3 linked regions of the Danio rerio genome follow. The protein of the gene in region 1 interacts with the protein of each later gene in a pairwise test. Links are inferred from orthologs where the notes say so. Each region holds a gene or a part of one and is shown in the gene's direction. Other genes may lie near its edges.

Evidence for each region.
Region 2: the proteins of sp4 (region 1) and nrf1 interact in binary tests that used the Homo sapiens proteins (3 or more experiments, as listed by UniProt). The two-hybrid records come from large-scale screens. The link is inferred for Danio rerio from reciprocal best matches to the Homo sapiens genes SP4 and NRF1.
Region 3: the proteins of sp4 (region 1) and foxp2 interact in a two-hybrid assay, tested with the Homo sapiens proteins (2 studies listed by BioGRID). The link is inferred for Danio rerio from reciprocal best matches to the Homo sapiens genes SP4 and FOXP2.

What each region holds. Positions count from the first base shown.
Region 1 is NC_133194.1:2,839,380-2,843,781, forward strand, and holds the start of sp4 (transcription factor Sp4), read left to right. Parts: upstream 1-1,451; 5' UTR 1,452-1,696; coding exon 1,697-1,721; intron 1,722-4,402. UniProt on the Homo sapiens protein: Binds to GT and GC boxes promoters elements. Probable transcriptional activator.
Region 2 is NC_133179.1:15,683,842-15,688,004, reverse strand, and holds the start of nrf1 (nuclear respiratory factor 1), read left to right. Parts: upstream 1-1,296; 5' UTR 1,297-1,391; intron 1,392-3,420; 5' UTR 3,421-3,447; coding exon 3,448-3,670; intron 3,671-4,163. UniProt on the Homo sapiens protein: Transcription factor that activates the expression of the EIF2S1 (EIF2-alpha) gene. Links the transcriptional modulation of key metabolic genes to cellular growth and development.
Region 3 is NC_133179.1:7,038,325-7,042,582, reverse strand, and holds the start of foxp2 (forkhead box protein P2), read left to right. Parts: upstream 1-1,391; 5' UTR 1,392-1,677; intron 1,678-2,554; coding exon of another isoform or gene 2,555-2,619; exon of another isoform or gene 2,620-3,046; intron 3,047-4,258. UniProt on the Homo sapiens protein: Transcriptional repressor that may play a role in the specification and differentiation of lung epithelium. May also play a role in developing neural, gastrointestinal and cardiovascular tissues.

The sequences.
Region 1 (4,402 bases):
CATCTCCCATTCCCTTTAAGAGTCAGCTGCGTCACGCCAAGAGCGCATTCACTATTTACAGGACGCAAAGTAAGTCTAAGTGGAAAAACTGAGCATTTCACAAGCAAACAGTTCACAGTTCACAGTTTTTTAACAGAAAACTGTTAAACAGAGCATCTACTGCGTGAGAATGAGAGATAATGGATCTACTTTCACTTTCGCTCTTGGATAGGGAAACCTTTACGCACAGACATCAATTAGTCTATAAATAAATAATTTTGTTTGTTAAGCGCAAATATTCGTTTCAAAACTATTTCTAAATTCAGTTCTAATTTCCAGCAAACGAATAAATGAACAATATGATCTAAAACCTGACGTGTGGGCAAATCTAAGCCTGTTTTTAATAAAACAAATATAAATATGGATATAATAAATAATACTGCTAATAACAATAACATTATACAAAAGCAAATTGTTATGAATGAACTGAAAAAGCCTCCCGAGATGAAGAAAACATTAAAGCAGTGATTTTTCATATTTATGTAGGCTAGAAAATAATATGTTTTGTAATATTTTAATCCTTTATATTTATATTCTATATCTATTCTTATTATATCCTATATATATCCTTAATATTGAATTTTTTCATATGTAAAGATATTTGCCTATTGCTCTCTTGTGTGTATTAAGCAGTGTGTAAGCTAGGCGCAACTCTGCGCTGGAGTTTAGACCGGGTTAGTTTTGGTCTAATGAAAAATCTATTATAGATTCTCAAAATAGCAACGCGTCAGCGGTCCACCTCAGAACGCCTTCCTTTTTAGACCAGAACGCCTATGGGCGCACATATGAGCGCTAATGCATTTGCTATTTAAACAGCGTAGCGCAACGCATCAAAACCACTCTTGCACCAAGCTGAAACTACCAAACAAGTATTGCACTGCGCCTTGCGCCACACTGCGCCGGGTGTATGATAGGGCCCTAAGTCTCTCGGCTGGGTGTTAAAAAGCAGATGACAGAAAAGCTAAATGTCTGTGAGAAGGAGAGATATTTGCGCACTTATCTTGACATAAATCTAAATAAGCTGCTCAGCTCTCAGAACACAGTAAACACAGTAAGTGTATTTCTGCACACACACACTATAATCTGCTGTTTTACTTCACTGAACTCCATATAACAGCCATACACTTGTTTATGCAGGCCTATCTAAAGGGTTAATGCTGCCAGCTGATGATCAACAGAACAAATGACACACTTAACCTCTTCCCAACAGGGTAAAACACCAACAATCAAGATTCTATGATTAAATGCTGTCATGCCTTTGCAATAAAAAAGTCATTATAATGAAAGTCAATGGGGCAAAAATAGCCCCCAACATAACCAAAGGGTAGTCAATTTGCACAGTACGCAAGGGTTAAAGCTATACATTATTGTGACGTAATCATGATTGTTCATTATTGTGCGTTTATCTGCAGGTTCAGAGAAGTCTTCTGTAGATGTGTGTGGCTTCTTCATGGTTGGTGGTGGATTGAGATGCCAGCATGGGGCACACAGGACACCACTGCACTTGCTCTGTCACCAGCGCTCCGGCACAATGCTGGAGATGTGTGTGTCTGTGTGTGCCCCGTGAGGCCTGCTGTGAGGGGTTAATGATGGCCCGTCCGCCCTGCTGGGGGCCCGAAAGCCTTTGTGTGCCTCAGTCTACACTTCAGTCGCAGGAATGAAGACGAGCAGAGATGAAGAAGGTTCGGATTTTGCTGTGTTTTGATTTCGTGCATATATAATCTGCATTTAAAGCTGCTCGGGATTGCAAATTTCAGGGTGAGATACCGAACACTGCTGTTCTTGAACTTTCTATACATCAAAGAATCCTCAAAATAAATGTAAATAAAAATAAATTACAGACACGCACATACACAAATAGAGAGATACACACGCACAGATGCACATATACAGAGGCACACACACACATAAAGACACACAAACACCGCATTGCATAAACATACGACTTTTAACACTGATTATAACATGAAATGAAGCTCAAATTAGCATATTTGAATGATTTCTGATCGTTATTTTAATTAAAATAATATTATGCATGGCTGTTATAATGATTTTTCACAGTACTGGGTTGCCCCTGGAAGGGCATCGCCTGTGTAAAACATATGCCAGAATAGTTGGTGGTTCGTTTCGCTGTGGTGACCCCTGATAAATAAGGGACTAAGCTGAAGGAAAATGAATGAATAATAAAAATTTACAATATTACTGGTTTTCAATTTTCATTAATAGCTATATTTATTTTATTTATGCTTATTGTATTATGTTTATTTTATTTTCGATATATGTATAATATTTATTTTTAGTGGTACTGTTTGTGTAAACATAAGAAAATACTAACAAAAACAGTAAGAAAATATAAAATATTGTTGAAAAGCCACGTTTTAAACTTTAACAAGCTTCAGCTAAATGTGTTAAAATTTATAATAGAAAGTTTAAAAAAGCATTTATTTAATAAAAATTGCAAAAGTTTAATTTTGAAATTAGGCTCAAATCAACAAATTAGAATGATTTCTGATCATTATTTTAATTATAATAATATTTTGCATAATTATAAGAATTATTTACAATATTACTGGTTTTAGTTTTCATTATTTCATTATTTGTTTTATTCTTATTGTGTTATATTTTTTTATTTTATATATATTTATAATATTTATTTGAAAAAAACATGAAAATGTTTAATGATAATGTTTGTGTAAACATAAAAGAATACTAATAAAAACTGTAAGAAAATATAAAACAGTTTAAGGTTTAACAAGCTTGAGCAAATATTATTTATAATAATTAAAGGTAAAAAATGCATTTATTTAACGCAACTTTAACACTGATTATAATATAAAAAATAGACTCAAATCAGCATATAAAAATGATTTCTGATCATTATTTTAATTGTAATAATATTATGTTATAATAATTATTTTGTGCTATAATAATGATTTACAATATTCGCTTTTATTAGTAGTTGTATTTTTATATTTATTTAATTTATTTTTATTTCATTTTTGTATTATATTTATTTGAAAAAAAAAATTTAAACTTTTAATATTGTTTGTGTGAGCATAAAAAATACTAATGAAAACTATAAGGAAATATAAAACATTGTTTGAAAACAAAGAGTCACGTTTTAAACTTTAACAAGAATGAGCTAGAATTAATAATAATAAAACAATAAACCAAAAAACAAAACCTCATTGTTGATACGTACCCCTGTATACACATTTCTGGAGATAGCGAAATGGAGGTACTTTTTTTTTTTTTTTTTTTGCAGTTTGCAGCTCTTCACTTTTGTCTGCGACACCTCCCACTCCCCTCTTCAATTTCGTCCGCAACACCGCACCCCTCCCCCTTCACTTTGTTTGCGACAACCCCCCATCCCCACACCCAGCTTTTCACTTACATTCGCGACATCCTAGAAATGTTGTCATATAGGGGCCCAGCTAAATCTTAATTTTCTCTCGCACCTGCTGTTCTCACGTAAATTTACTAGAGGCCGCTGTCGACTGACTGACTGACTGATCGACAAATAATCCCACTCACCCCCTTTCCTGAACCCAACTGAGAGTGTTTTTAAAAGCACCGATTGACCCAATCACCCTCTTCCCTAAACCCAACCGACAGTGTTTTCAAAGGCAATGCAGAAACAGAAAAGCCCTCACGGCCGCCTGATTTTACCACATTTTCAGATTTGACCACATTCTCGCCCTGTTATTAACTTGTTTATTTTATTTTTGGCTTCTGTTTTTGTTTTACCTGCTTTCTGTAAGCATTCTTCACCAGACTTGAACCTCGTAATCGCAGTCAACTACTCTCTGCATCTCAGGTCCACCAGCGTACAAGGCGAGCCACTGGACAGAGGTAATCGGTCAGCTGGTTAACGCGAAAGGAAATGGCGTCAAGCCCTAAAAGAGTGAGTTTCAGAGAGTTATAAAACATTATCCAACCCAAGCTCATTCTGAAAACGTAGTCCCGTGGACGTTTCTGGAGACAGTGGAATACGTCCTGGCAGGTACGTACGGCCGCGTTTATTTTTTTCAAGCGAACGCTGCGGCGCGGTGTGACGCTGTTTCCCTCCTGCTTCCCCGCTGCAACCCGTTTGTCCACTCAGCTCACCGTGTACGTCGGCAGGCTCAAGATGCAGAGAGGAGTTGACCATGGCGATCGGTTTAGAGTCCAGAAGAGCAGTTCCAGCAATCAGGTAAGACAAAAACAGAATCCCAAAAATTAAGTGAACGAGTTTCGTAACAGGGTGAGAACGCGGTGAAATCCGAAAACGCGGTAGAAAAAAAAAATCAGGGCTTTTCTTTTTTTGGACGGCTTTTGTAAACTGTTGCTCGGGTTTAGGGAAGCGAGCGGGCGGGCGGGTCAA
Region 2 (4,163 bases), on another chromosome or scaffold:
TTTTATCATGTTTCCTTTTAACAGAAAATAAATATGACAAAGCAATATATATATATATATATATATATATATATATATATATATATATATATATATATATATATATATATATATATATATATATATATATATATGCGCACATAATTTTGCCATAAAAACAATAAATTAAATAAAAATATTAAAAATTAAATAAAAACATTAAACATTATTTGTGAGAAATTATTTTGTAATTAAACACAAACCTGTTTTCAAACTTTGGCTCAGGAACCCCAGTGAGCCACAAGAGATTACTATAGTGGTCTGTGAAAAAAAATATGAAAAAAGCATTGAAATAAATAAAATATACTAATCAAACAAATTCATAAAAGTAATATTCAGTTAAAATAATAACACTGTGGCACTGTGGCTCAGTGACTCGCCTCACAGCAAGAAGGTCACTGGTTTGAGTCCTGGCTGGGTCAGTAGGCATTTCTATGTGGATGGCATTTCTTCCCATGTTTGCATGGATTTCCTCTGTGTTGCTCCGTTTCACCCACAGTTCAAAGGCATGCAGTAGGTGAATTTAATTATAAATTGGCCATAGTGTATCTGCTTGAATGAGTGTGTATGGATGTTTCCGTGTACTGGGTTGCAGCTGGAAGGGCATCTGCTGTGTAAAACATATGCTGGATAAGTTGGTGGTTCATGTGGTGACCCCAGATCAATATAGGAAAATGAATGAATAAATAAAAATTACAAACACAAAGATTAAGTAAAATTTTGAAAAACCTAAACTTGTAAAAGAATAAACGAATGAACATATGAATAAAACAAATGAAATGCTGTAAATGCAGTATGGGCAATTATAATGCAAAGGAAAGATATAATAATGTAACTTTATCTAATTTAAATATTTTCCAATGGACATTTTAGACTAATTGATAATATAGTTCTTTAATAAGTGATAAATTAGGCCTTTATTCAAACATCTATAACCTTTAAAGCTTTTTTAAATTATACATTTTAGCTTAGAGGTGTTTTGTATAGTCTGTTGCGACTCAAAAACTTTATATATGAAATCTTTCTATATCTAATTACATATAATTATCATATTGTTATTAATATTATTGTTAAAAACAAAAAAAAATCGGTGCCATGGAAATGTCGCATTCCCACACCCATTCCCTCACTCTCTGTGAGTGTAGTGTGCACTTGCTGCTGCTGCATCACGTAGTAGTGTGTAGCACGAGAGGGAGGGGCGGGGTTTGTTCTGTGCACTTCGCTCGTGACCGCGCATCAGTCGCTGAGCCCAGGACGCGCGCACTCTGCTGCTCGTTCTTTGTCCTCCATTGCAGCTGGTGTTCACAGCTCCGCCGCACCGCGCAGGCCCGAAGTAGCGCAGCCGCTCTGAGGTTAGTGCCCTACCGCGCAATCTCCAGCCATTTCAGCCCTGGCGCAGCCGCACCAAACAACCCGGCAGCGTTTGCCTTTCACACACTCAGATGCAGATCGCGACGATGCGAAACAGAACTGCAGATGATTTCGAGCACTTTTGCCCGGATGGCAATTATTATTTACCCCGCTCAATTTGGGGCAAAAAAAGAATCATGGCGCAGGCGCGGGCCTTTGGCCTAACGTACTGAATTTAGATGTGCAATCGAATCGCTTATGTTTTTTGTCCAGATGCTAAATGGGATTTCAGTGCTTGATAGCTTGTGTCTATATGCTCGATCGCGGAATCGGATTTTGAATGCATGTATTATATCGCATTAGCTTAGCAATGTTATCGATCAGTCGAGTGTTTATATCGCTTTATTCTCAGTCAACAACGGTGCTCGCTTACATTTTATCTAAAAGAGCATTTTAGATGTTTAGCGCTTATCTCAATGATTGTGATCATTAAGAAGTTGAATGGGCGACAGTGTTTAATATTTTACCAACACACTGTCCCATTTCTTTACAGTAATATTTATTCACCATTTGAAAATAACCGCCATTTATGTGTTTGTTATTAATGCTCTAATACACCGGTCTGTATCGCTTCAGATATATTCAAACCTACCTTTTATTATGGCCGTTTATGTTTGTTGAAATGTTCTTTGGTATAATATATTAATGTTTTTTTTAATGATATGGTCATTAAAAGTACCTATTCCAGTGTTTGAGGTCGCTGAATTGAGCAGAATGAATTAGCTGCGTTAGCTTCTGGTTTACGTTATTTATCTTACGTTACGTGTGCACGTTATATACTAACGTTACATTCATAGCACATACGTTTTATTTAATTATTTTACATATGCTTTCGGTCTTAATTTAAACGATTAAAAAAACTATAAATAATATTGATTAGAAAGTTGTAATATGTTTGAACTACACTCCTTGCTGTCAGAGACTTCAATATTTTATTATTCAATAAAAACTTTAAAAAAGGTTTTTATTCTGTGTCGTTCAGTTTGTGTGTCATCTAAAAAACAAAATAACTTCTGGGTGTAAATAATCCTGATGTATTTTTTTTTAATGATTGCACATTGCAAAACTGTACTGATCGTGTATATATGCAGTTAACAACATTAAAAAAAATTGCTAATTATTTTAGGTGAATGCTAGGATGTCAGTATGTCTTACTCCATCTATATTTGCCAAACATTACTGTTTGTATATAAATAAAAAGTTAAATATAAGGGGGACGTATATTGATTTCAAGTAATCTTTTGTGCCCCCTACTGGATTGATTGTTTAAAACAATAATAATATTGAAGTCTGTGAAAATAAAATATACATTTACAACTTAGTTCATACACAATTGTACATTTGGTGATGAAAATAAACAATATTAAAGTTTATTTTTAGCTGAAACCAATGTTTTTGTCTATTGTCTATAGTATCAATTGATCATATACTAGTTACTAAACAGGCAAAACTAAATGAATACCTGTCGCTAATCACAAAACATTATGTTTTAAGAAGTAAAAGGAACCAGTTTTCTGTATTTATGTTCTCCATCCGTGCCTGATCCTATTTAAATTATGCTCCGTTTTAACCATAGTGTATTGTTAGCAGCCAAAGGGGATTCATTTAATTAACCAAATGTTTTAGCTTGATTTCGGACACATTTTGTCATTGCCCATTTCACCTGTATTGACCCAAAGTGAAATGTTTTGTTGTGCTGTTTTAATATACAAAACACATGAATCGCAATCGCGTCATATTAACGGTATACATTATAATAGGGATTCACAGTATATATTTATTAGTAAAATGCGAGTTTGTTATTATAATATAATGCAACGTGTCTCATATTTTATGTGTATTTTAAATGAAAATACAAATTACAATGCATGCCTAACACTTCACAACATACTCAGTTTGACACTTGAATACAACTATGAACGCAAGTCAATCTGTGTGCTAATATCTTGTTTGTGTGTGTGCGTGTCTCAGTGTGTTTGAGTGAAACTGTATCGGGTGATGGAAGACCATACGGTGCATCAGACGGAGCATATGACCACTATCGAGGCCCACGCCGTCTCTCAGCAGGTCGGGCAGGTGCACGTCGCCACATACACAGAGCATGGCATGCTGAGCGCCGACGAGGATTCGCCCTCCTCGCCTGACGATGATGCTTATGATGACTCCGACATCCTCAATTCAACTGGAACAGATGAAGTCACCGCACATCTGGCTGCTGCTGGTAGATTTCTGCACATGCTGCCTCTTATGAAAATTTACTTGTTTGAGTTAGTCTAATATATCATGCATCACAGATTCTGGGTTGAAAGGCTCAATCAGATGCCAAAAGCGAACAAATGGTACTAACACACACAAATATATTGTTGAAAGTCATATCCATGGTTATTCTCTGATGGTCAGACAGTGATTTCTCTTTTGTGATTGGCTAAAATATTGGTGTGTGGGATGCAGCAAATTCAGACACTAATGACTATTGACTTTAATAAATGATATGACTAAACTGGTCATAAATAGCAGCACAGTGACTGCTAGTGATTAGACAGACCACTAGATGGTGCACTTAAACCATAAATAGTCCTATAATGGGCTATATGCACACAGACTTTTAATATTCAGCTTGCCAGCCCTAGAGATTTCAGTCTTTCCATTACAAAATTGGCGCAATTAAGATCTGATTTCTTTAAAAATCAGCGATCTTCACTGCCTGATAGGTA
Region 3 (4,258 bases), on another chromosome or scaffold:
GGTGGCAGCAAACCCCTATATTTCATGCCATGACCCGTTTCCCAAAATCATCTTCTTTTTCTTAGTTTCCTATAAAAAATGCACACGTTTCTCATTCATTTCTTCGTGACAAACACCACAATTTTATTATTTTTTAATTCTGGATTAAAATATTTATTTAAATAGCAGGCTTTAAGATACATAGCATATATTTTAAACATAGGTGAACATCAAAACGCATCAAATATGTTCTTTCTGATCAATGAAAAAAGTCTCTGCGGATATCTGACGGATATTTGTTATCAGATTTGAAAAGTGTTAAAATGTTCACATAAAACCATGTCAAAATCTTCAATATTGACTCATTTATATATGCATTTTTATAAGTGTTGATTTAATGTAAAATATATATTCCTATCTTTTTTTAAAACTATCATTATGTTAAAGCAGACGGTGCTTGCTTGGAAAATAAAATAAAGACTATTAATTCAGTCACAGACTGTGATAATTAAATCACAAAAAGCAAGACATTTCATATCAATCTTTGATCTGAAATCTCCTTTATTAATATCAATATTTCAAGGCAGTGGCACACACACACACACAGACAGTACACACACGATGCATAACTCACTATACAGTATAACCTTCAATTGTTTTGCAATTAAAACATAAATGGGGAAAACGCACACAAGCAAATATTGTTACAGTAGCAGATCATCATTAAAATGACTAATATATCATCAAAATCAATAATAAAAGTACTGATGATTTAATTTCGAGGTTCATTTCAGTGAACTGCGAGTGTGTGAGGTGTTTAAGAATGCTGATTAATTTAATATAAAGTAAAATTTAATAAATGTGTTAAAATAAACATTGAATTAAGTTGATTTCGAATTATGGAAAAATAAAATAAAGCAACACCAAACATTTGACCCCATCTCTGTTATTCTGAACATCCTTCCACTTCGCTCGTCTTCAGATTTGTATAAACTATTTAAAAGTACAACGTTATTTATTTGTTATTCGTGTAAACAAACACAATACTTATTCCCTTTATTCATTTAATCACGAGTATAATTTCGGATTTCGCCATATCAATAAATAACAGTAGCATAACAATACAAATATGTCATAATCAAAATAAAAATGACTTCAGACTCGTACACACATCTCTCCAGCGAATGAAACCGGCTTGTCTTTCTTGATTTGGGTGTGTTTTGCAATGGCAATAAACAAAAACAAACTCCGTTAACTTTTAATGACTGCATTGTTTACCCAGCAGGTGGACACGACGTCACGTGGGGTCGCAGTACGCTAAAAAATAACAACATGCACGTCCGCGTAAGTGCCTCCCCGCATTGTAATAAGCTAGTCCTCCCCACCACCACCAAACTCGGCCGATACATTGCGATGTATTGAATCAAGATACAAAAAAACAAGCCGCCGCTTCGCGTTGCGCGTCATGCAAGCGCATTCAAACAGGAGTCGGTGTTACTCGGGCGTTTTTTTTTTTTACTGTTGCATCGGTAATAACAGCAGCACACACTGACTGAAGACAGCAGCGTCTCTGCACTCCGAGCGGAGGAATATCAACAGCGCGTGTTGTGCGTTTGTTTTCAGCGCTTTTTAAAAACACTCCGACTCGTAAACACGCAAAACTTTGCATCCCCGAAGGAGATACATTGACTTCTTTTGGTGAGTTTTCACGTTTATGGCTTTTTTATGCACTCGGCGTCTGAGTTTGAGTGCACTTAGAAGTTGCAGATGGCTTATTTAGTGCTTTATTTGTTGTTTTGACAGCGAGGTGTGTTGTTTGAGAGTTGCCGAGGACTCATAAATCCTCATAATCAATATTTACATCAAGTGACAGTTTGGGAGGATTTCATTTATGCGAGTGAATAATGCGGATTCACTTTTGTTGTGTTTGCATAGCTGTTTTATTTGAGTAAATTTGGGGTGATTTAAACACGCGATTTGTTATTGTTATTATATACTGTAGTAATAGCAAATAATAACACAATTAATGTCTGTTTTAACACTAGTGATTTTAGCCTGAGTCATGAAATGTAAATATGCACGATTCATTATTAGTATTATTACTCAAATTTCAAGGCGTTTGCATCTCTGTACAGTTACAGATTTCATATTTCAAGACCGTTTTCAAAGTTTTATTTATTTTAATGCAATTTTGGGTATTTATTATCATGTATGGAATTTTAGATTTGCCCTGTTTTTAATTTTGCAAGAAATTTAGATTTTTAACCATGATGTCTATATATCTATATCTCTATTGTAACTATATATATATATATATATATATATATATATATATATATATATATATATATATATATACACATACATACATACATATATGCGCATTTGAAATAAAAATTCTAAAATGCATAAATATTAAAAATAATAAATATGTCCTAAATATGTTTGCATTTAGTAATTCATATAATAAATAAATAAATAAATGAATATTATTTCTGATTTTTATTATCATTGTTTTTATTATTATTATTATTATTATTATTATTATTATTATCAAGGGTAACATTAATCTTACCGTGGTTGCTTGCTCCATTCCCATAATCCGGGGTGAATTCTTCCTAGCTTTAGAGCTGCTCGCATGCAGGAGCAGTGAGTGTCAGGACAGGAAGGCTGATGTATTGGAGTGTTAATGGACAGCTCTCCTCTTAAGCCTCAGCCACATCTACTGCCAGTGCACTTTCAGTGGCTTCAAGGGATGTGGGACTAAATCAATAGGGTAGGTGATCTTTGTCTTTTTTTTTTTTCTTTAAATACAAGGTGTATAGTATTACAGCTCCCATTATGGCAGTGATTAGCTATGAGATTTTTTTTTTTCCCCTGGTGTTGGTTGCAGGAGCACCTCAGTTTCACTCCGGCAGCTGTGCAGGTGAAGTGCAGGTGTGCATCATGCTGCTTCATCACTCAACGCCGTGGCTCTTCAAAGAGGCCGCGATAGCAGTAGTAAAAATTTTCACACACACGCGAACACACTTTGCTCTGTAACGTGAAGCCCGGCCCTTTGTTAGCCCCACGCAGTTCTTCCCAGGTGATTTTAATTAGCACTGTTTCAACGAGCAGTGTTTGGAGCGTGATGTTTCACGTACGACACACTGAGGGAGGGAAGGAGGGAGGCACGGCTGACCTGCGACAGGAAAGAGGGGCCTAATTTCCAAGTATCCCAATGTTTTTTTGTAGTCGCAGCCTGATTACGGCATTCATCATGGGATGGGGTGTGTGCACGCTCTGCTTTGCATTAAAAAAAAAACCTTTTGAGATGAATGCATGTGCGTCAAGTAAAATAAAATCATTTGTCTGAGTTATGATAGCACTGCAAGTTGAACACTGTGTAATGTGGGTGGGACCGTTTCATTGTTAGACATCTCAAGTTACTCTTTTTAATTATTTCATATTGAATCTTGAAGTCAGTGCTGATGACAAAAAAATAATAAAGGCAACCTCAGAAAGACAAAGGTTAGCTCATGTGACAGCAATGAGCAGTGTGAATAGTTATAGGTCATGCTTTTATTCATATGCTTTTATTAGGGGGAAATGTTTTATTGTTGGCAATCGCTAAAGTTAATCTTTCACTTTTCCATATTGCAATCACTATTGACCAGCCAAAACTGTTTTAGGGGGTTTTAAGAAAGGCAAACAACCTTAAAAAGCATAGATTAGATGTGTTTAATGTTAACATTGTACAAGTGATGCATTAACCCATGTGTTGAATTCTTGTAGGTTATGCTTTTGTTCATATTGAAAGAAATGTTGGGTACACTGGTATTGCATCTTTCAGTAATTGCTAAAAGCAACAATGACAAAGCTAACTAAACTATTTTAGGGCTTAAGAATAAAAATAAAAAGTTGTCTTTGACATTACAATAAGATGTAACATACACTCAAAAAAAGCTGTGTTTTTGCTCGTTTAAACTACTTGATTAAAATGAGCTGAAACAACACAATTGGGACAACTTAATGTTTTTATGTTCAATCCACATTAATTTGTTAAAAGTGTTAAGTTAACTTAATCGATTTGTGTTGGGTCCACATTACTGAATTGTGTGGAACCCTGCATTTTTGACAGTGTGCATGACTTTGTGTTAAATATGTTTGTAGTGCTTTTCCTCATTACTTTTTTCCATGTAATTGGAAGGTTTCATTGTTTGTTACTATATTTATTATTTATGTGGCATCTGCTAGTCATTTGCCATCAACATAAAAAAAAAGAAAGAAAAAAAATAAA